Neurospora crassa OR74A: one gene and its partner. The protein of the gene in region 2 interacts with the protein of the main gene of each other region in a pairwise test. Links are inferred from orthologs where the notes say so. Each region holds a gene or a part of one and is shown on either strand. Other genes may lie near its edges.

Region 1 (11,286 bases), on a different chromosome or scaffold from region 2:
TTGACCCGGATATGCCTGATCCGAGTGGCATGCAACTGAAGGCGGCCAGGCGGGTTGTAACTGAGCAAGCTGGTGGACAGCTGGAATTGCCTCGCCTGTAACGCTGCAGGATTTGGCTCGCCACTGGACGCCAGCTGGAAGATTCTTCGTTAACTGATATGTTTGTTGGTTACCGTTTCGTCGGCTGTAGCGATCTTCTCCAAGGACATCGATGAGCATGCTGCACACTGACCAAACAATTTCAAGCGAAAGGGAACCTTGACGGCCTGGCTCATTATCCAGTGGCGCCATGCATGTCGTACATCGAACCTGTTCTTGATGTGGATTGCATTAGCAACTTCCTTGCCCATATGTGCCAGCCCTTTCCACGTCTACGGTCCATGTTCCAGAAAGATGTCCTCATTTACATCATCAAGCATACCCGTCTCCAGTCCGCACAACGAAATGCAAGGCTTTAAGCCCACCGAATATTTTGGAATACAGTGTGTGGGAGTACCGCTGAAGCCTACTCGAAAACACAACGGCTAGAGTCCCTCTGGGATATCTCTATCCAGGCATTGCCTAAACATTGAGTTTCAAGGTATATTGGAGATGCTCGGGTGCGTAGTAAGCGTAAACACAAGGTATAATGTCAAAGGTTTCAAGTCCAAGGTTTCAGTAACAATGTCAGGAACAAGGCACCTTGGTTTGTCAACTTTGATGGCGACAATCATAACGACCCGACCATCCAGATTTCCAAAACTCAGAAGTTTCCACGCTTTCCCCGTAGTCGTAGAGTCACCTACACCTCCGGGTCGCTTGACCTGCTTGGTGCCAACGTTAGAATTGGGGCTCTGGTATGCGCGATTCTATTGCTCTATGAAGACCTGAGATGGCCCTATGTACGAGATAGGTAAGTATACCGACGCCGCTGCATGCAAGAAAAGGACCTCGGGACGCCTAACAACGAAAATGGATTGGATTGCAGTTTCCCCTGACATCCGGCATACATATCGATACGCTTAGTCTGAGCTCAACAGCTCCTTGATATCCTCGATCCTCTGCATCTTCTTTTCCTCGTCTGACATCATCCCCAGTGATGTTGCTCTGCAGTCAAATCAGGTTAGCCTTTTACCTACCTCCAGTCAATGTCATTAAATCACTGATCGGGGACAAACTCACATAAACTTTTTCCTCTCCTGCACCCGCAACATCCTCATTTCCACACTCTGTTTCACTATAAATCGATAAACCCTCACCTCATCCTCTTGCCCCATGCGATGCACACGATCAATCGCCTGCGCCTCCACCGCAAAGGACCACCACGGGTCCATCATGTAGACCCTCTTGGCACTGGTCAGGTTCAACCCGACACCACCCGCTTTGAGACTGAGAAGCAAAACGCAAAACTTGTTGGTGGATTGAAACTCGGTAAGAACAGCGGCGCGGGCCTTCTGGGACATGGACCCATCCAGCCGAAGAAAAGAGATCTTGTGACGTGTGAGGGCGGAGGATATCAGCGAGAGAAAGGATGTGAATTGGGAAATTACGAGGGACTTCATTTTGGGGTGCTCTTGACGCAAGGTGCGGAGGTGTGAGATTAGAGCGACGATTTTGGCGCTGGAGTCATTGGCGCCCACGCGTTGTAGGGAGATGCGCGGCTCGGGACTTGCCCCTGGGGTAGAGGATGTCTCCAGGTCATCATCGTGGCGGATGACTTCGAAGATGTCGCGGATGTTGATGTGCTCGCGACATTGGAAACACCGCGGGACCTCGTTACGGTCGGTTTGATGTTTGATATAGTCGAGCAGACATTTCTTGCACGCAGAATGCCAGCATCCTGTCACGGCCTGGTCGATCATTGGTTCTTCGGCGCAGATGGGGCATTCGTTGACTGCTTCGTCACGGATCTGTCTAAGAACGTGAGCGCCGAAGTTGTTGTTGGTTTTGGAGGCGTCGTCTGTGGTGGCGGTGAAGCGCTCGATCAGAGTTTGGAGATCCATATCGTCTGCCAAACCCGCCGCAACGTCAGCGGCCATATTGGCTTCCTCCTCATCAGCGAGGATCTCCTGGTTGCGAACAAGCACAGGGTGACAGCAGGACTGCCGGAGCCGCAAGATCTGTGCAAAAATGGAGGTAAACGCCTTCATGACGGTGCCGGCCTGCATATTGTCAAAGAGCGTTCGCTTGGCGCGGTTGAAGACGTAGTCGTAGACTGCCCTTTCAGGCTCGGAGAGTTCGATGTCGACGATCTCGATGTGTTTGGGCGGAAGCGGAACAAGGAACTGGCCATCCGGGGTCTTCATGTCTTTGGTGCGGCGCATGACGAGCGGTTCGAGGACGGTTTGGACGACGTCTAAGGCGCGGACAAAGTTCTTGGACTCAAAGGGGACGGTGATGAAGGTCCGCCAGAAGGAAAAATTGTTCCATGGCTCAACGCGTAGGAAACGGACCAGGCTGAAGAGGTCTTCGAGGCGATTGACAATGGGGGTTCCGGTGAGGACCCAGCGGTGTTCGGCGGCAATTTCGTAGCATGCGCGGGAGGTCTTAGCTTGGCGGTTCTTGATATTATGTGCTTCGTCCAGAATGACACGGAAGAAGTTGAGGGAGAAAAGCCCGCGGCTGCTGAGTCTGTCTCCATTCTTGGTGGCGAGTTGGGTAAACTCGGAGAGGACGACTCCATAGCTGGTGATGATCACATCTGGAGCGTTGGCCGCGTTGGCTTCGCAGCACATGGTCACCAGATCGACATTCTTTTCCGCCCCGTAGTACATCATGGTCTTGAACGTGCCCTCCTTGGAAGCATTCTCAGCTTCGCTTTGCCATTGCGCCAGCAAGGACATGGGGGCAACCACAAGGGTTGTGCACGGAGCGTCAATTGTCGTCTTCTGTCCAGAGACTGTTGGTAGGCGTGGGAGGTTGTTGACCGAGGTAGGGCCAGCCTCCCGCGCCTTGATGGCTACTTCGGATCGGTGAGAATGGATCAGGGAAAGCATCTGGATGGTTTTGCCTGTGATACATGACTGTGAGCTGGATATCAGGTCAAAGAGAAAAGAAAAATGTAAAAGGCAAACCCACCAAGTCCCATCTCGTCTGCCAAGATTCCACCAAGACAATGCTGCTCTTGTTTGGGGAAGTCCAGTGACAGATCGCCAGAGTATGGGTTGACGTAGAAGCAAGGTTGGTCAGGAACCACAGGTAGGTCCTTATCGTCATGGTCCTTGGTCGGCCACACGTACTCTTCCCATAGGGGATGCATGGATGTTTCACGGTCTTCTGTTCGCTGGTTCTTCTCCTTGGCCAGCATCCAGTACAGCGACTGCTTCTGGTAGGGACGCAAGGTCATGGCGAAGGTATTAGCTGGTTCAGCCTCGGGGGTGCTAAAGTCGAAGGATTGGGCCTTCTTGTACAGCGCGTCGAGTTGGTCTTGTTCGAGCTCCTGGCCCTCTTCGGCCTCTTCGGGGGGAGAAGCTAATCCGTTAGTGTTGTGGTCCCCAGCCTTGGCCTTGTCCATCGCCTTCTTCTCGGCCGAATCTGCTGCTTCAAGAAGGTCTTTCCTGGCGTCCTTGGCGGCAGCGGCGTTGCCTCGAGACGGAACAATGTTGATCTCTTGAAACAGTCTGACAAGCGCCACTTGTCTCAGTCGCAGGTCCTTCTCTTCTGTTGTCTCGTCTTTCTCGTGGAACCCGGCAGCCCTATTGTCGGCTAGTTGGAGGGTTCTCCCCAAGAAGGCAGACCGTAGCATGTAGCACTTGAGCTGCAAGAAGACGGTCTCGTTCGTTCGTAGACGCTCGGGCGCGTAAACACAGATGCCTTCGAATCTGCAGATGTTCTGGTCTATTAGCGTTGACACCCAGTTGGCTGTGTCTTTGGCTAGACGGCCGAGTTCCCTGCCACTGGCGTCGTTGAAGCGGACTATGACATCGACACGTTTGGCAGCTGCCGCGCTGACTCGTGGTATGGACTGCGGGGTGCCAGGCTTGGTCTGCCCTTTTCTTGCAACGGTAGGTGGTTGGATCTTTTGGCGCTCAATCTTGACGCTGTCACCGTGTCTGAGGAGGCCTGTCCCGCTTCTGGTAGCCCATCCCTCAACACCAAATGCGCCGACGTAGCGGGCGTCTGGCATTGATGGGAGAACCTTTGTTGGTGTGTTCGATTGCGGCTGTGGTTGGGCTTGAGCGTGCGACCGGGACCGTGCTTGTGATGTTGATGATTTCTTGGGAGACTGACCTCCTACAACCAGGGGCGAATGCGAGTTGACTCTGACTGGAGGCGCCCGGTGCAGCTTTTTCCATGTTCCATCCAGGTACATGTTGACGGCTCTTTCGATGTTGTTGCCGCAGTTCTTGCTGATGACGTGGAGGATATCGGACGCAACCTTTTCGCCAACAAAAGCTTCGAATGTGTCTTTGTCGAAGGCCAGCTGGGGGGACTCGACCACTGGGGGTGCCACGTCCCGGGGTGTCGCGATCGGAGTATCGACGTCTTTCAAGAGATATCCTTTTCTAGGGTCTGGTTTGGGCATGTCGTTGAGCCAGGGAGCACATATCTTCGTGGCGTGGGGCGTTAGGGTGCCATCGTCTGTGAAGAATCTTGGGCGTTCTTCGTCGTCGTCGTCGTCGTCGTCGTCGTCGTCGTCATTGTGGTCCGCATCTTTGGAAACTCGTGGCTGGACTTCACTGTTTGGGTCTTGGAGGAGTTTCTTCCTGGGTGGTGAGCTCGGGGGAGCACTGAACTGGGGAGACGAGCTGGGGCCGCCAGCGACATGGTCCGAATCACCCTGGTCGCCCAGGAACCGGCGCTTCTTGGAGAGAGGCTCGTTGGTGAAGTCCATGGTGTCGTGTCGGTCCATCCAGGTGTTGGTTGTTCAGCCCATTAGGTTCAAGGTAGGTACAGTACCTCTAGGTAGTCGTACCACGGGTGTACGGTATCAGTCAGCTACTGTCACCCAACCGACTCGAATGCACCAACTGCAATGGTGAACTTCAGTGTTGCGCCTGTGAGACGCGACTGTGCCGTGGCAACCGTGAAACTTTGGCGTGCATTCGTTTCCGCCTTCCCGCTGTCAGGTGATTGCGCGCCACCCTAGAGGTAATTAATTACGCCCTCTGCAGTGTACAGTCCAGTGCTGGGTTGTTTGTTAGCTGGGTACACTAGGTACTGTACCATACTCTATACACTAGACGAAACCTAATCTATCCCAATTAGTCCTAAACCCTCTAAGAAGAGATCGAAATAGTTGGTATAAAGGTTAAAAGATATTAGTACTATTTGATATGGCATTCAGAATATTACAAATGGTGTATCCATGGTAAGATCACGCATTGATTAGCTATGAAAACGCATCGGAAAGTTGATGCGAGGTCTCGAACTAACAAGCAAACCAGTACTGGATTGTATGGAAAGCCAGAAGCTTGGGCCACTGAAGCCATTTAATGCCGTCATCGCTGCTAACCATAAAGGCTTTAGAGGCGCCGCGCTTGTGATGCTGAGGGGCGCAGCGTAACATGGTCTCAGCGAATTGTCAAATCAACATGTCCTGTCGTCGTCGGCTTGTCTTCCTCCCCGCTGCTGCCGAGGTTGTCTTGTCTCTTGTTACAGTGAGAGATGTGAACCACTTTGTGACAGCGGGGAAAACAGTACCGCTTCTTTGATCATGATATCCCCTCGAGCGGCAGGTTGTTGTCATGGCCTGGGGCGGGCACCTCTACGGCCCCGTCTACGTCTCCAGCCTCAGAGGCCTTCGTGGCAGCCTTCCCTCTCCGGACGAGGCCTCGCGACAGTCACAGACGGCGACGTCGAAAAGGCCCGTCAGTACTGTGAGAACCAGCTCAAGTCTGTCTCTGCTTTCCCTCCCCATACCTAGCCATTCTTCCCACTTGCCCTTCTTTCTCTGCTAACTCTTTCTCCCCCCACCCCAGACATGGTGACTACGAAGCTTTTCTCCTCCGACAATTCGTCCCTCCTTCCTCTCGGGACGCCTACAACGCCCTCCGTACCCTGAACCTCGAACTTGCCCGTCTCCCCGAGACAGTTTCCAACCCGACCATCGCACGCATGCGCATGTCCTTTTGGCGTGAAACCGTGAACAGCGTCTTTGCCGGCAATCCCCCACGCGAGCCCATCTCCATCCTCCTCCACCAAGCCATCCAAGACCTCAAAGCCCGCGCCGGCCCCAACAGCGCCAGCTCTCTCAAGTTCTGGCTCCTACGCTTGATCAACACGCGCGAGCAACACATGGAAAACAGGCCCTTTGTCAGCTTGAACTCGCTGGAAGACTACGCCGAGAATACGTACGCGACGCTGATGTATGTGACCTTGGCTTCCATGCCTTTGCGATCAGTACATATGGACCACCTGGCTAGTCACATCGGCAAGGCGTGCGGCATCGTAGCCACACTACGCGGCATTCCCGTTCTCGCCGCTCCATCGCAGCCCATCCAGGGTCCGGCTGGGAGCGTGGGCAACACCCGGCATCCCGCCCTGCTACTACCCCTCGATGTGATGGCCGAGGTGGGGGTCAGAGAAGAAGATGTCTTTCGCCACGGACCCAACGCTGAGGGACTGCAGGATTCCGTGTTCAAGGTGGCTACAAGGGCCAATGACCATTTGATAACGGCGAGGGAGATGTTGAAGAACTTGAAGGCCGGGGAAGAGGTGGGCCATGATTATGAGCATGAGGGAGAACAAGAGCATATCTACTCCAGCGGTGGGGTCGACGCAACACAAGCTGATATCAAGAGGGGGTTTGGGGTGCTGTTGGAAGCAGTCCCGGCTGCCGATTACTTGGAAAGGTTGGAGAAGGCTGATTTCGACCCGTTCAAAGTCAAGGCGAGCTGGAAGCTTCCCTGGAGGTTGTGGCGTGCTCTAAAGACACAGCACATTTGAGTCCTCTGTTTGTGCCGTATACGAGGCCAACGAGCCACAATCGAGATTCTTCTTTCCATCACGTATCGTACTCTTGGTGCTGACCGTCTGTGACGACACAGGATCGATCTCGATCGAGACCGCGAGCGTACACTCCGTGACTATCGCTTAGCCCGATTATCATGAATAGGCAAAAGTCTGCAATCGTCGACAGCATCGGCCCAGGTCTTCTTGTCCCTTTGAAACAGCACGAAGCGTCCTCGAGGCAAAGTGTTGACATGGTCTCGGTAGGACCATCGTACGACAGAGAGGCACATGACCCCTTTGCAGATGGTGGTAGTTGAAAGCACAACATCCATCACCAAGACCGATATTGCTTGCAATCTGGGGCAGAGCAACCACTTTGTAAGAGCGTTCCGTGTGGCGTGTTCTCGCCGGGCCTGAGTAGTGGGAACATGGGTAACGGCTACATTTTAGCCTATAATTGTACCTCTGCGAACACCCAAACCATCTTCGTTCAGGCCCAATCACCCCCAAGCTCACCCACCAACTTCTGGCCTATCACCAAGAATAAAGACCGTCGTTCGCAATCGGTTTTCAAGATAGTGAGTGGCCCTGCGGCTTGCTCTTCCGCCGAAGGATTTCCACTACAGGGCTGGCATTTCGCTAGTAGTTCTAGTCGCCCTCGCCTCGGTCTCGTCAAGAATCCTCGACAAGGTTGCAGGGTCGCATTGACAGGTGCCGACGCGTGTCCTTTGTCCATATTCCGTACAAACTTTTGTTTCAACGTCATTCAGCCCAAGTTGCCAAGAGCTTGGAATGACTGCTGAACATGTTCATCAATCTTGGCATATGTGAAGGAAGCAATCTGTAGGCTGATATGTTAGCCGGACCAATCACTGGCGAACTTCCACACACTGCCTCCCTCCGAATCTCTAATCCGCAACGGCTCGACGGGATCCCTACAGTCACATAACTCTCCGTATCAAATACCTCACGGTCAAAGACCGCCGAGACGGCTCAGTGACTAACCCCCCGGGGAGCTTGATGCCGTGTTCTTGCGTTATAACCCCCGCAATTCATTATGTCCAGCCGTGGGAAGCTGGAAGGGCCTAATGTTCATCCCATTTTTTAACATCTCTTGTGTGCCAAAAGGGGAAAGAACAGAAACAGCTCCGATAGGCCAGTATCTTATGACCGGTTCGACAAGATGAAGCACTCACCAAGCTATATCATCCCTACTGAGCTGCCTTCCGTACATCGCCAGGCTTCAGACTTGGTCGTCCCATCCCACTAAATAGGTTTTTACTCCGATCCAATACCTCGTCCATCATGTGGCTTCCACTCATCCTCCTCACTGCCACGGCGGCCCCCATCCTCGCCAACCCCCTAAGCTCTCCACTCAACAAGCGTGCCGCCATCGACGACTGCCTCAAATCTGCCGGCGTTCCAGCCGATGCTCAAGGCTCCTCCGAGTGGCGTACCGACGTCAACCCTTTCAACCAGCGCCTGCCCTACACGCCAGTAGCCATCGCGGTCCCTACCACCATTGAACACATCCAAGGTGCCGTCTCCTGTGCCACCAAGCTGGGAATTAAAGTTACCCCCAAGTCAGGAGGGCACAGTTATGCTTCGTTTGGTCTGGGCGGAGAGAACGGGCATCTGGTCGTGGAGTTGGATCGCATGTCGAAGGTGACGCTGGATAAGACGACGAATATCGCAGATGTTCAATCGGGAGCGAGACTGGGGCATGTGGCGACGGAGCTGTATAAACAGGGCAAAAGAGCTTTCTCGCATGGGACTTGTCCTGGGTACGTTTTCGTCAAGCCCTTACTTCTTGGCTTGGCCGGGGCTAACCAAGGAGGGAAACAGAGTCGGGGTAGGAGGCCACTCCCTCCACGGCGGCTTTGGCTTTTCCTCGCACACCTACGGTCTTGCAGTAGACTGGATTGCCGCCGCCACAGTCGTCCTTGCCAACAGCACTGTAGTGACCGCATCGCCAACCGAGAACCCGGACCTCTTCTGGGCTTTGCGTGGCGCTGGGTCCAACTTTGGCATTGTGGCTTCCTTCAAGTTCAACACCTTCGCTGCGCCCTCGCAAGTAACGGCTTTCCAGATTAACTTGCCCTGGAACTCAGCGTCGTCGATTGCATCCGGCTGGGAAAAACTCCAGGACTGGTTGGCGGCTGGCAATATGCCGAAGGAGATGAACATGAGGGTCTTCGGCTCGCCGAGTCAGACGCAACTGCAGGGCTTGTATCACGGGAGTAGCTCGGCGCTGCGGACGGCTGTGCAGCCCCTGTTGAGCACTCTAGGAGCGAGCTTGAGCAATGCGCAGCAGTACGACTGGATGGGAGCGTTTACTTATTATACCTATGGCGGCACGGTGGACGTTACGCATCCTTACAACACCGTAGGTTCCCTCTCGTTTCTTTCTTTCTTCTCCAGCAACTAATTTTTTGCCAGGTCGAAACCTTCTACTCCAAATCCCTCGTTACCACCGCCCTCCCTTCCGCGGCTCTGAACTCCGTCGCCAACTACTGGATCAACACCGCCAAGCGCGTCTCGCGCGACTGGTTCATCATCATCGACATGCACGGCGGTCCCAAGTCCGCCATCACCTCCTCCACCACCAATTCCGCCAACTACACGAGCTCTTACGCCTATCGCGCCCCGGAATACCTCTTCCTTTATGAGCTCTATGATCGTGTGATGTTTGGAAGCTATCCGAGCAACGGTTTCAGCTTCCTCGATGGTTGGGTGAAGAGCTTCACGGATAACATGAAACAGGAGCAGTGGGGAATGTACATTAACTACGCAGATCCCACGATGAAGAGGGCCGAGGCTGTGGGGAACTATTACCGTAGTAGCCTTAGCAGGCTGCAGAAGGTGAAGGCGCAGTACGATCCGAACGAGGTTTTCTACTACCCGCAAAGTGTTGAGCCGGCCAAGTAGGCTGGGGCGGGAATGTGGAAGGGGAATGCATGAGAGCGAGAGTGAATGGAGCGTTGGCCCTTTGTTGAGACGTCGAGCTTGTGGGTGTCTACAAGGTAGTAAGCAAGTGCAGCGTCAAAGAAAGATTCTTTACAACTACGGTACCTGTCTTGCCCTTCACGGGTGGTTGCTTCGCTTGCTCACATAAAAGGTTTGTTTATATTCATTACAACGGCTGATGGCGATAACGGTCGATAGAGGTAACAACATGCCGGTCTTCCACCATGGAAATTCGACTTAGAAGGACTGTAGTAGCTCGGTAATTGCCCTACTTAGGTACCTCAGGCAGTGGTGGTGGCTAGAGCCGGTTAGGTAGGTATGAAGTCAATACGAGCCGAGCCGTGGTTACTTGATCCATGTCAGCCCACCATTCTCTTCATCTCTTCTACCTCTTGAACTACGACGAGTTGAGATGGAACCTAGGTACCTCAAGGTATGAGACATTCCAGTCGGTCAACTACTGAAATAGGAAGTCAAAGAATGACGTGACCAATACAGTCACGAGGATCAACCTATAATCTACTGTAGCAACTCGACTGGATGTTACCTACACACGAAGTCGATATTCAGTAGAGGTAGGTAGGTAGTTTAGCAGCACATTTCATAGGCCAACCGCAAATACTACTCTAGAGATGCTATCAACCTTGTCCCTATTTGTTATGGCTCCCAAGACCTCGATATGGTCATGAGCTAGTACCTAAACCTTTAGTTGGCTGTGCCAAGCCCTCCTTCATCTTTCCCTTAAAGTTGGATGATCGACGGATTTAAGTTTTGGCAAAGAGATCAGCATTAAAGTCATACTAACCTCCTGTCAAACTTCACTCGTTAACTGGACTGGCATGGGCTAGGTTGACGCCGAGTGGATCGTCGAAGCACCTTCCACAACCTCAGGTGGTGTTCCTTATTTGAGTCTTGCCAACGTCTGGTTTGAAGACTTGACTGCCCGCTCAGCCACGACTGCGAATGGAAGGAACTACAATAGGGCGTTGATTAGGTGACCCTGTATGGCTCTCTGGTCTTTTAGCAAGTGCGTGTTCTTCGAGTATAATGATATGAATTTGGGACTGAAATCTGCCACAACGCAAATGAGGGAGAAATGTAGGAAGGTTGGAAGAAAAAGAAGGATGAAAAAAGAAGGTGGAAGCTGAAAGCAAAGACAAGAAGGATAACTGAAAAAAAGTGTGCCCCCACGCGGGATTGAACCGCGGACCTCTTCATTACGCAAATGACTAATACGAGTGAAGCGCTCTACCACTGAGCTATACGGGCGTATAACTTGATTGTTGGGGTTCTCGGTGGAGAGAGTACACATAAAGTGAAGGAGGACAAATGCCAACTTTCAATACATTCGTGCTCGTGGTTAACGACAAAGCGTTGTCCCAGGCGCCGGGTCCCCATATGAGTTTCCATTCGCATGGTTACGATATATGCTGTATCTAATGGTGA
Region 2 (10,854 bases):
CCAACCTTTGAGAAACCAGCCAGATGGAGTCGTCTGCCTATTCAGCAGCACGGCATAGTGCGCCAGGACCAACAGGGCGCTGGGGTCGCACCTCCTCACGCACGCCGCAAACTCGGGCTCGACACGGTACAACCAGCCAAACACGAACTGGTTGTGAGGCGGGCCGTCATCTCTGATCTCGCCGTCTGGCCCGCGGCGCCCGTATATTGCTGCGTATATCCCGATGAGATTGTCGAGGGCGTGGACGGCGACGGCTGCTGTCGTCCTGGAGAGTTCTCCTTCATTGGGTGCGCCGCCTTCTTGTGCCCTGGCCACAACAAACTCCCGTAGCCCATCCAACTGCTCTTCCCACTCCACCCGCGGGAACCCATCCCTTACGTAAACGGGCGTATCCAAAGGCGACGGCGGCAGATCCCTCCCCAACGGCTCCATCAAACCGGCGAACAACACCTCTGGACGAAAAGTCTGGTGCATGAGCCGCACGCCGTACACGAACGGCATGCTCACACCACCACCCCCGACCTCTTCCAAACCACACCCTTCATCTCCATCTCCATCCCCATCAACACTGCACACCAGCAAATCTCCGTCCCCCCTCGGCCCATCCGCAAACGTGCAAAAACAAAGTAGCACCGCGCCCAGATACAGCGCCCCACAATTCCCCTCCCCCGGCCGCGCAAGCTCTGCCGCGAACCCCGACACCCCCTCCGTCAGGTGCTGCTGCGCGAGGGCGAGATATTCGCTATGGCTACGGCGCGGAGGCAACAGCAACACTTCTTCTTGCTCATGGTGATGGGTGGCTGTCAGGTAGGCGAGGTGGAACGCCGTGTCGGCGAGGAGGAGGTGCAGGACGAAGGGGTGGGCGAGGCCGATGTGCAGGGCGTTGCGCGTCCAGAAGGCGAGGTGGTGCGGGTGCTTGTCGCAGCCGCCGATGGAGGGGGCGGTGGTGGTGGTGAAGTGGAGGAGGAGTTCGGCTTGGGTAATATTGAGGTCGATTGTCGTCGTCGTCGGGACACAGGCCCGCTGGTTGAGGGGTGTTGGGTCGTCGAGGGGGGAGGTTGGGGTGGTGGATGGTGTGCTTTGGGAGTGTGGGGGATCTGAGCGGAGAGTTAGCTGGCGTGGAAAGAAGAAAGACATGGAAAGAAAAGGGCATGAAATGGAAGAAGAGACATGGAGGAAAAAGACAGGGAAAAAAAAATGCTTGGAGTGAAGCCCAAAGGCTCGCACACACTGTTTGACTCACCTGCCCAGTTCTTCCGAGGCCGCCCCCGACCTCGTCGAGTCGGAGCGGCAGGTCCTACAATACCATGTTCGAAATGGGCATTTTCTGGGACGAGATTGCAGGGCAGGCCGAAGCGGATGCAATTGCTACATGGCTTCTCTTCGTCGCACTGAGGGAGGTCAGCAAGAGTCGAGAAACGGCGCTTGTAAAAGGCGAGAAGCATCTTTGTGTGTTGTGTAGGTAACGGGTGAAAAACTGACCTTGACTTTGCGGCGTTTACAAGAGCTACAGCCGGTGCGTGATTTGCGGTGAGGTTGAATGGACTTTCTGGTCGATGACGACGCCGCCATTTCTGCGAAAGGTGGCTAGAGCACAGTAAGTTGAGATTGGGTGTGAATTGATTTTTCGGATCAAAGTGCGAAAAATAAAACCCGAATAAAGGGAAGCCCTTGAATGGAGCTGCGGCGTCTGCGAAAGGAGGCTACAGTAAGTTGACATTGAGGTGTAATGGATGGTTGGCTGTGAATTTTTCGGATCCAAGTGCGAAAAATCAAAGCCGAATAAAAGGGAAGCCCGTGAATCCACATCTCGTGTAAGTCGCCCGCCCCACAGCCCACGACGCAGTTTCGTCTGAGGGGGCTGTGAGCATCCAAATGGAATGCCAGGGTACCGTCTGTTCAGATCTTGATCAGCACTGAAAGTAATGCGATTCACCTGTCTCTCGACGGTATATAACCCCCCTCGAGGAATGACTTGCCCTGTATTTGTTGTGTTGGTCATGTGTTCCGTTATCAAGCAAAGGGCTAGCAGCAGCTTTTGATATCCCTTTCCGTCTACTCCCAAACCTGGCATCTCTACTACCCTCCCCAACTCAATGACGCTTAACGATGGCCCGCCCTTCGGCCCTGTGGTCAACGGGACCATGGTGGTGGTCTTTTGGGAATACCGACCCAGCAACGTTGCCGCGCACCTCTTTCTCGCCTTGTTCGCCTTGGCCACCCTCGCGCACCTCGTCTACTTTGTCTGGCTCCGGGCGTGGGGATGCATTCCCCTCATCCTCGGTGGCATCTGTAAGCCTTCTCCTGTCTCTTCCACCTCGCAATCTCCCTGACCATCCAACCCCCAAACAACCAGGCCTCGTCTTCGGCTACCTCGAACGCAGTTACGCCCACTCCGACCCCACAAAGCTCGACCCCTGGCTGCTGCAGAACATGCTCCTCCTCGTCGCCCCTCCCCTCCTCGCCGCCTCCCTATACATGTCCTACGGCCGCATCTCCACGGCGCTCCTCGAGGGCACCTCCAAACCCAACCACGGGCGCCGTAACAACCGCGGCTGCTGCGCCCGATGCTGTTACTCCTGGTACCGCCCCATCATCATCTATTTCCCCGACCCCCCGTCACTAACCGCCCATTGCCAACCAACCAACAGCTTCTGCACCTGCTCCCCGACGCGGCTCTACGTCCTCGCCGACGTGGCCGCAATCTTCACCCAGCTCATCGGCACCGTCCTCCCCGCAAGCGGCACCGAGTCGGCGCAACGCCTGAGCAAGATCATTGTCCTAATCGGCCTGTGCGTCCAGCTCCTCGCGCTGGGTATCTTCCTCTTCACCTGCGGCCGCCTACACGTGCGCCTGCACCGCAACCCGACCAGGTCACGGGCAATGCTGATGGACCCTGGGGTGAGATGGCTGTGGTATTTTGGTGTGATGGAGGTGGCGGGGGCTATGTTGGTTGTCAGGAGTGTGGTGCGCGGGGCCGAGTATTTGGGGGGAACGGACGGGGTGGTGGCAAGTCATGAGTGGTTTGTCTATGTGTTTGATGGGGTGCCGATGGGGGTGGTGATGGCGGGGTTTTTGGTCTTGTATCCGGAGAGGGTGGTGAGGGAGGTGAAGCGGCAGGAGGGAATTTTGAAGGGGGCGGGCATGGGAGAGGAGTTGAGAGGCGGGGTGAAGGGGGAGTCGTATCCTGGGGGCGATGTTTACGTTGGGGGTAGGTGTCACTAGGTTCCTGTGGTAAGTAGTCTCTATCACTTTTACCCCCCGTCGACATCCTTCAGCGGACCCGGCCCACAGAAATGTGGGTCTTCTGGGGGTGGGGTGGGTTTTAGTGTAGAGGTTAAGTGGGTCTAGTCCGGATGGACTACAAATGTCATACAGAACACAGGGTAAATTAGTAAAGTAGGAGAAAAGAGTGCCTGTCATAATATATCCATCGGCCTTAACATGTCTCTGGATTTGGCTTCTTCATCCCACTCAGTTGAGCATCCCCAGGTATTGGTGGCTGCTGCTGCTGTGACGTCTCCCACTGCCGTTCCTTGTCTGGAGTCCCGGGAATGACTTGTTCCCTCATGGCGGTATCCTCTGCTATAGCATCCTTTCCAGGAGCTTGCCCGTCGTGTTCTGTATCCGCGTCATCCACCTGCCCCGGTCGTGGTGGACTTGATGGCGGGACAATATCCATCCGTGTTGGCGCTGCACTGCTTTCCCCCTCTCTCGCTTGTAGTGTCGGAAGTTCAGCTGGGCCAACATCCTCACCCCCACCCCCACCCTTGGTATCCGCCTTCTCCCCATTACCATCCAAAGTCTGCCTCTTAATCCCCTGCCGGGCCTGCTTGATCAAATCCCCAAAACTCCCTCCATACCGAGTTGCCCAAGCTTTGCCATCGAACTCCTTGTCCTTGATCTGCGCTCCAGTAGCTTGCGCCCTCGCCATGAGTCCGAGTCCCTGCTGCCCCCCTCCTCCTCCTGCTGCTGTGCCGGGATTCCCTACTGTCCGTTCCCATTCGTCTAGATCGCGAAGTAACTCGGACCGCTTTTTGGGTCGCGAAGAGTCGCAGTTGGCGTTCCAAAGCGTGATCCACTCCTTGTGGCGCTTCTCCAAGAGCTGGCGAGAACCGTGGGTGGAGAGGCCGAGTTCGGAGAGTTTCTTGCGCAGGGCGGTGTCGCGCAGCATGGAGTAGGCTAGGGCGGGGAGGCGTTCGGGTGGTTTTTGGTTGGTTTGAGATGTGAGGCGGGTGTTGAAGGATGGAAAGGTCGATGGCTGTGGTGTTTGAGCGGGGATCGGTCGTCGTTTGGATGCGGCCTGGGGAGAACCGGGACAAGAGGTGTCGAGGTGGCGGTCGACTTGCTGTTCCTTCATGCGGGTGAGGCAGATGGGGCAGGCTACTAGGCCGTCGTCTGGTGGGAGGTCAGTGATGATGATGATGATAGAAGCAACCCACGAGGAGCGGGAGGAGGGAAACGAACCGGGTGGTTGGTCGACGTAATCCGGGTCGGCTGAAGGTGTGGTGTCTTGCTCTTCTTGTAGTATTGCCGCTGTCAACTCGGCGGCTCGGGCTCTTGTTGATCTGGTTGACCTCCTCGGCCTCTTGCTTTCTGGGTCCTCCTCTTTTGGCCCCTCCATTTCGGTCGCCTTTCGTTTTGATGGCGAACTGGGGCCTGCTTGGTCTGGCAGTATCGCCTGAATGGTCGGTGGTGTCCTAGCAAACTCGAGAAGGACTTTGCGGGAGTTCTTGAAGGCTTCTACGGCTTCGCGCAAAGCCCAGTTGCCTCTGAGCTTGGATTCCTGGTCGGTGGCGCGACAGAGCGGGCACTTGCTGTCGACGGACAGACATCTTCGGATGCACAAGGAGCAAAAGGTGTGATTGCAGGATGTGAGCATGGGAGAGTCGTAAAAGTCCTTGCATACGTGACAGCGGAAAGCCTGTTCGACGGGCATCAGGCATGCGAGGGGCGTGCCCAGCCAGTCGGTCGAGTCGGGGACGTTGAAGGCTTCATCGCCAAAGACGTCCATGATAATGTCGGTTGTACTGAAGGGTATCCGAGTACTTTGTTGGTGGTGATGGCTGCCTTCGTTCTACCTGGAAGCCTGGAAGTAGTATTGTAGAAGAGACGGAAGATGTGAGACGCGATGTCTGCAAGTCGGACGAGACTGGTCGCGACTTTGTCGAGGAGGAGAATTCCATTACACTGTATTTACACAAACTGGCCGAGGGTCAGCAAGAATACCGAAGAGTGACCCGGGTATCTAGCACTCGGGATCTTTTCCCTGGGAATTGCTCTTTCAGTTGGTGTTTTTGTTTCAAGTTAAACATGGCTCTCTGAACATCTGCACTGCCATTATTCAACATTTACAGCTCTTTGTGGCCAACCTCTTACTTGCAGACCTTTGATCTCTCCATGACGGTATTGATTGTGCCCACGATACGGTAATGACAGGGCCTGCACGTGAATTGGCGACGGGAAGGCGTGCAGCGGGGGTGTGTTCTGGGGCCTTCAGTTTCCAGGCACAAAAGCGCTGCAACAGTGCAGTGGAAACAGAAGCCCCACCTCTTCGCTCCCCTCAGCCCAGACTATTCCCTTTTGGGCATCAACCAAAACAAAGACTGGAGCGGATTGGGTACTAACAATTGAAACCAAGACAAGGGAATTTGCTCCGGCAACAGGAACTCCATCCCAGGTCAGGTCAGGTCAGGTCTCCGATCCCTCGCTTTTTACTTGGTTTGTTTGACTTTGACTTTCTCTTTGTTGCTTTGACTCGATCGACGCAATCCCGTCATCCCTCCGACAACCACCATTATACCACATCGCCAGCCTCGTCGCCCACCTCCCTCCCTTTCTTTGACCAACTAATCATACCAATGCTTTGAACATCTCACTTGTTGCCATTCCTTTCTTTTCCGATCATTGCTTGGGGGTTTTTTTTTTTTTTAGAGCTTTCCCCACATCCCCAAATCCGGTTTGTTGACTTTTGGCGCCAAAGTAAACAAACAGCAAAAATGGCGATGCGCAAGGCACCACGTCTGCCCGTCGGCTCGGCAGCGTGGGTTGCAGAAGAGCGCGCATCGGCGCTCAAGGTGGCAGAGGAGGAAGTCGAAGAGTTCTCGTATGCGGCGCGCAATGAGATGGACTGGCTGAACGAGCACATGGAGGACATTTTCTTGGGCGAGAACCAAATGTGCGTTGTCTTTGTTTTATTTCCCTCTCTTTGTCTCGCTGACCAGGAACAGGAACATTGCCGAAATCTTCAAAACGCCAGCACGACCACGAGGCAAGACACCGCGGACAATTCGCAAAGGGCCCAATACCGAAGTGAGAGTGGTAAGCATCCAGACAGCGTCCATCATTCTTCTGCGACGGGCGACCAAGAGTGATTGATTGATTGATTGATTTTGTTCTAACCCACAGCAGCCCTTGGCCAGCATCTTCTCAGCGACGCCCAAGGGTGTGACACCTAATCCCTTCGTCCTCGCGCCGCCCGCGAACAACTCGTCATGGACGCCCAAGATCAGGCCCGATACGCCGGAAGCCGACGTCGAAGCTGATGACGAAGCCGATGATGTCCCCAAGAATCCCACGACTCCCTCGACGCGCCGTGCGAGCCCGCGAAAATCAGCTGCCGCAAAGTCGCCAAGCCCAGTCAAGAGCGTTGCCGCGCCATCACGACAACCGAGCCCAGTCAGGCCAAACAACACCACGCCCATGCGACCACCACCCGCAAGTCCAGCAAAGCCAGTTGCCGCTACCCCGTCCAAAGTCAGAAGCCCAATCAAACATCTCAATGGCTCCCCCCTACCAATTCTTTCCAAGTCGCCTACCCCGGTCAAGCCCTCTGATTCTGGATACTATGGCAGTCAACAGCTGGATATTATGGATGTGGACGAGGTCGGAAAGGTTGCCGATGCCAATGCCAATGCCGATGTCGATGTCGATGTCGATATGGGAGAATCAGCACACGAGCCGACCATGGAACTCACTCAGCAGTCGGCGCAGGAGCTACCACAACAACAACCTCCACAAGAGCCCACACAGGAGCAGACAGAGGAATCAATACAGCCGTCAAATGAGCTCAACCAGGAACCGACGCAGGAGGAACCAGAGCAGCAGGAGATAGAGTCACAGGATCTGGGGGTTCAGCCAGCCCCCACCGAGCCGGAGCAGCACGCCAGTCCCGCACCACAGGAGACGGCCGAACTACTACGAACCACAACACCTTCAGAAGAACCTGTTGAGCCTACCGTTCAATACCCTCGACTTCTTTCGCCCGAGCCTGATGTGATTAGGTCTAGCAGCCCAGTCCACATGCTCATTCCGTCGCCCACCAGGTCTATCCATGCGCCCTCCCCCCAAAAGGCTGCCTCGCCTCAGAAGCTCGCATCGCCAGAAAAGCGCCTTTCCCCCGAGAAGAGGGTTTCCCCGGTCAAGGTGGCCTCTCCCCAGAAGGATCCTTCACCAGAGAAGATTCCCTCCCCCGAAAAGACTCCGGAGCTTGAAAAGGAGGAATCACCTGTGGATAGCGCTCCCGTCCTGTCACCAAAAAAGAGATCGCCAGAGACAGAGCCAGTCACTGAACAGCAACCCAAGACTCCGGCGCCCTTTGTACACGCCCAGTCAGAGAAGGATCATGCGGACGACCAGGCGGACGACAAGGTGGACGATGACGCCAACTCGTCCATGGAAGCCTCCAGCCCCATTAGCCCGGTTAAGCGCCTGAGCAGTCTGAACTTTGCATCACTTCCCGCACGCGAGCCGATGACCTCTAAGAAGAGCCTCGGTACTAGGATGTCGAGGACGAGCCACGTCGACGTAACGCGAACCTCCTTCTACCATCGCCAGACGGGAGGAAAGAGTCTTGGCCATACTACCCGACAGGATTTCGATGATGACGACGATGAGATGGACATTGATGATGATCATACCCAGGAACCCAGGACTGCCAAATCATACACGCAGCGATTGCAGGATCAGATCAACATGTTGGGCAAGGGACAGTCAATGGGACCGAGACCATCGAAATCGATAGCCCACCTCTTGCCGACGCAACAACACGCATCCACTTCACAGGCACCGACGACACAGCCCGTTCCGGAGCCCACCAGATCCTCACCCAAGAAGCCACCCGTGGTTACTCCCAGGGCATTTCCCACACCGGGAGCATTCCCGCTGGACGATGATGACGACTGGATTGGACCTCCTAGCAAGGGAGCGGATATGTCTACCCCCATGGTGTGGAACGCGCGCAAAGACACACGGTTAAGTCAGCCAATGGAAGGAATGAACTTATTCGCAAGGGAGGCATCTCCGACCCTTGGAGAATCCTTCATGGAGAACAGGCACGAGTCACCAAGTAAAGCGCCCATCATCCAGGAACCACCTGCTGCGTCTTCCTCAACAACACATGTCAAATCGGCTTCTGTTCCCACGCTACCCAGTTTGCACGAGCCTCCCGTGCCAAAAACCGCCAGCCCCAAGAAAGAGGCATCTGTCTCTACTTCCAACCTCCCCGAAATGCCAGCGCACGAACCTCCTTCGCCCTTCAAGTCCCCCTCCAAGGCATTCCGCGAGAACACGCTGGAGAGGGTCAAGAACAAGTTTTCGTCCCTTATGAAATCATCCAAGGGACTTCTCCCAACCAGTGCACATTCAAATGCCGAAGCAAAACTGACGGGGCTCTTCACGACTCCCTCAACTGCTCGACTGGAAGAACATCCCAGTTTATCCGAAGCTTCCTTCAAGACAGCCGATAATGTCGTCTATCCTGATCTATCTCACCATGCACAGGCCGAAGCCCCCGTAGCCGCCACCCCCATCCGACCCACGAGAAAAACCCGAGCGTCGACCGAGAGGGAACGAAAGGAGGCAGAGGAAAGGGAGAAGGAAAAGAAGAGGGAAGAGAAGGAGGCCAAGCAATATGCCAAGACATATGCCAAGCAGAATGAGAAGCTGGAGAAGATGCGCGAGAAGGAAGCGGAAAAGGCCCGTCTCTTCCAACAAGAACAAGAGAGACAGGCGGAGATGGAGAGACGCGCTGCTGAACAGAGGGAGCAGGAACAACAACACAAGCTTACCAAGGCACGACCGCAGTCCAAGCAGTTGTTCGAGACACCAGGACCTTTCAAATCGGCACCCAAGAGCCCCAAGAAAGCTACTCGGACTAGTCTTCGCAGAGGAGCCAAGCAGGGTGAAGCCGAAAAGGAGGAAGCCGATGTCGACATGGGAGACGTTACTATCTCCACAAAGGCACCTCAGTCAATTCCTCGACCTCCATCTGCTCAAGCCTCCCGTGGCACGGGTATCAAGCGACCTATCAGACCCACGAAGGAGGCCTTGACGAGGGCCAAGCCCGCCCCGACTCGCATCCGCGTCAACACCACCAGCTCCCAGCAGGGAGCGTTCCACACTTCGACCAACAGTGTTCTCAGCACCACCAGCCAGGAGAGCCTCGGTCAGTCGCACGGAAGGCAGCAACTTGTAAGCAAGGCCAGCACGTCATCGCTCACCAAGAAGCCTTCCCTGCAGAGTCTTAAGGGGTCTTATTCTTTGACTGTCGGGCGGCCCAAAGCGTTGGAGCTGGCGGCCAAACAAAAGGAGCAAGAGGAGCGCGAGATCCAGCGCAGGCGTGATCAGAAGGCGGAAAATGAGCGCAAGAGGGCTGAGATGAAGGAGGAAGAGCAGCGCAAGCAAGCTGCGGCAGCTAAGAAGGCCGCGATTGAGCAAGCCAAACGGACCCGTGCGCCGCCCCCGCCGCCAAGGTCCCAGCCTAACGGTCCTCCGGATCACTTGGCGGAGAGCAGGCAACCTTCGAGACCTAATTCTCGTCTTGGGCCGGCGCTGCACGATAGCCGACCAGTCAATGCTGTGCTGGGCAAGGCGGCTTCCAAGCGTCCGTTGACGCAGGTGCAAGAGGCCCATCAGGATTCGAAGCGGATTCGCGTGTCTGAGGACTTTGATGCGGATATCGAGATGGCTGAGGGTAACACCAAGCAGCAGAGGAGCATCAGGGGGGCACCCGTCCGGCCTTCTGCGGTCCGGCCTTCGGGTGTGAGGCCGTCGGCAGCCGTTAGACAACCCTCGGTTGGGTTCAAGAAGGATTTGTCGACTACTACCACGACAGGCAAGTCGATTTTCGCCTCCAACTATACCAACGTACCGCACGCCCCTCCCCCTCCCTCAAGGACAGTCGACCTCTTCAAGAAGACCACCGTCAACCAAATCAAGACGGGTCACGCACTGGACACGGCCCAATTCCAAAAGGGCAACCAGATCCCCTTTGCCTCCAACCCCAACGGCGCTGGTCCTTCCGCTGCTGCTCAGGCCGGATCGTCCCGCCATCCGCTCCAAACCCCAGCGCGTCCGGGTGCTACTGCCGCCCGCGCCCTGGCTCTCACATCCGCCACCAAACCCACCCGCACCTCCCCCCGCCTCGCCGCCATCGCCGCCGGCGACTCCATCGAGCTCCCTGAGATCCAAACGGACGACGAAGACGGGGTCGACACGCCCCGTCCATCCACCTCCAACCCCAATTTGCGCTCTTCGCTGAATGGTGGCAACTGGACCGACAGCCCTTACCTCAAGGCTCAACTTTTGGCACAAGAGCAGCTCGACCCGATGGTCATCTTTGGACCTCCTGCTCCGCTGAACATGGAGGAGGTGTTTAGCAAGGACAAGAGCAGACATCATCGGTTCAGGGCCAGGACGAGCAGCGCGAATTGGGAAGGGCAGGATCGGTTGACGGAGGAGGAGGTGTGTAGGGATCGGGAGGCGAGGGAGAGGATGAGGAAGGAGGGAGGATGGAGTTGGGGATTGGGAAGGACTTTGGGGTAATGATAATGGAGTATAACAGGGGGGAAGGGT

What was found.
Region 1: the proteins of uvs-2 (region 2) and mus-41 interact in a two-hybrid assay, tested with the Saccharomyces cerevisiae proteins (4 studies listed by BioGRID). The link is inferred for Neurospora crassa OR74A from reciprocal best matches to the Saccharomyces cerevisiae genes RAD18 and RAD5.

What each region holds. Positions count from the first base shown.
Region 1 is NC_026503.1:31,423-42,708, reverse strand, and holds mus-41 (DNA repair protein rad-5), read right to left. Parts: upstream 5,018-11,286; 5' UTR 4,832-5,017; coding exon 3,058-4,831; intron 2,990-3,057; coding exon 1,162-2,989; intron 1,087-1,161; coding exon 1,002-1,086; 3' UTR 832-1,001; downstream 1-831. Other genes in the region: NCU09517 (hypothetical protein), read left to right, coding at 5,636-5,814, 5,901-6,867; NCU09518 (glucooligosaccharide oxidase), read left to right, coding at 8,179-8,657, 8,719-9,259, 9,313-9,801. UniProt on the Saccharomyces cerevisiae protein: Probable helicase, member of the UBC2/RAD6 epistasis group. Functions with the DNA repair protein RAD18 in error-free postreplication DNA repair.
Region 2 is NC_026504.1:5,736,320-5,747,173, reverse strand, and holds uvs-2 (postreplication repair E3 ubiquitin-protein ligase rad-18), read right to left. Parts: upstream 5,191-10,854; 5' UTR 5,015-5,190; coding exon 4,468-5,014; intron 4,399-4,467; coding exon 3,440-4,398; 3' UTR 3,381-3,439; downstream 1-3,380. Other genes in the region: NCU05208 (hypothetical protein), read right to left, coding at 1-1,097, 1,244-1,391, 1,483-1,572; NCU05209 (hypothetical protein), read left to right, coding at 2,097-2,292, 2,357-3,225; NCU05211 (hypothetical protein), read left to right, coding at 6,000-6,178, 6,231-6,321, 6,412-10,824. UniProt on the Saccharomyces cerevisiae protein: E3 RING-finger protein, member of the UBC2/RAD6 epistasis group. Associates to the E2 ubiquitin conjugating enzyme UBC2/RAD6 to form the UBC2-RAD18 ubiquitin ligase complex involved in postreplicative repair (PRR) of damaged DNA.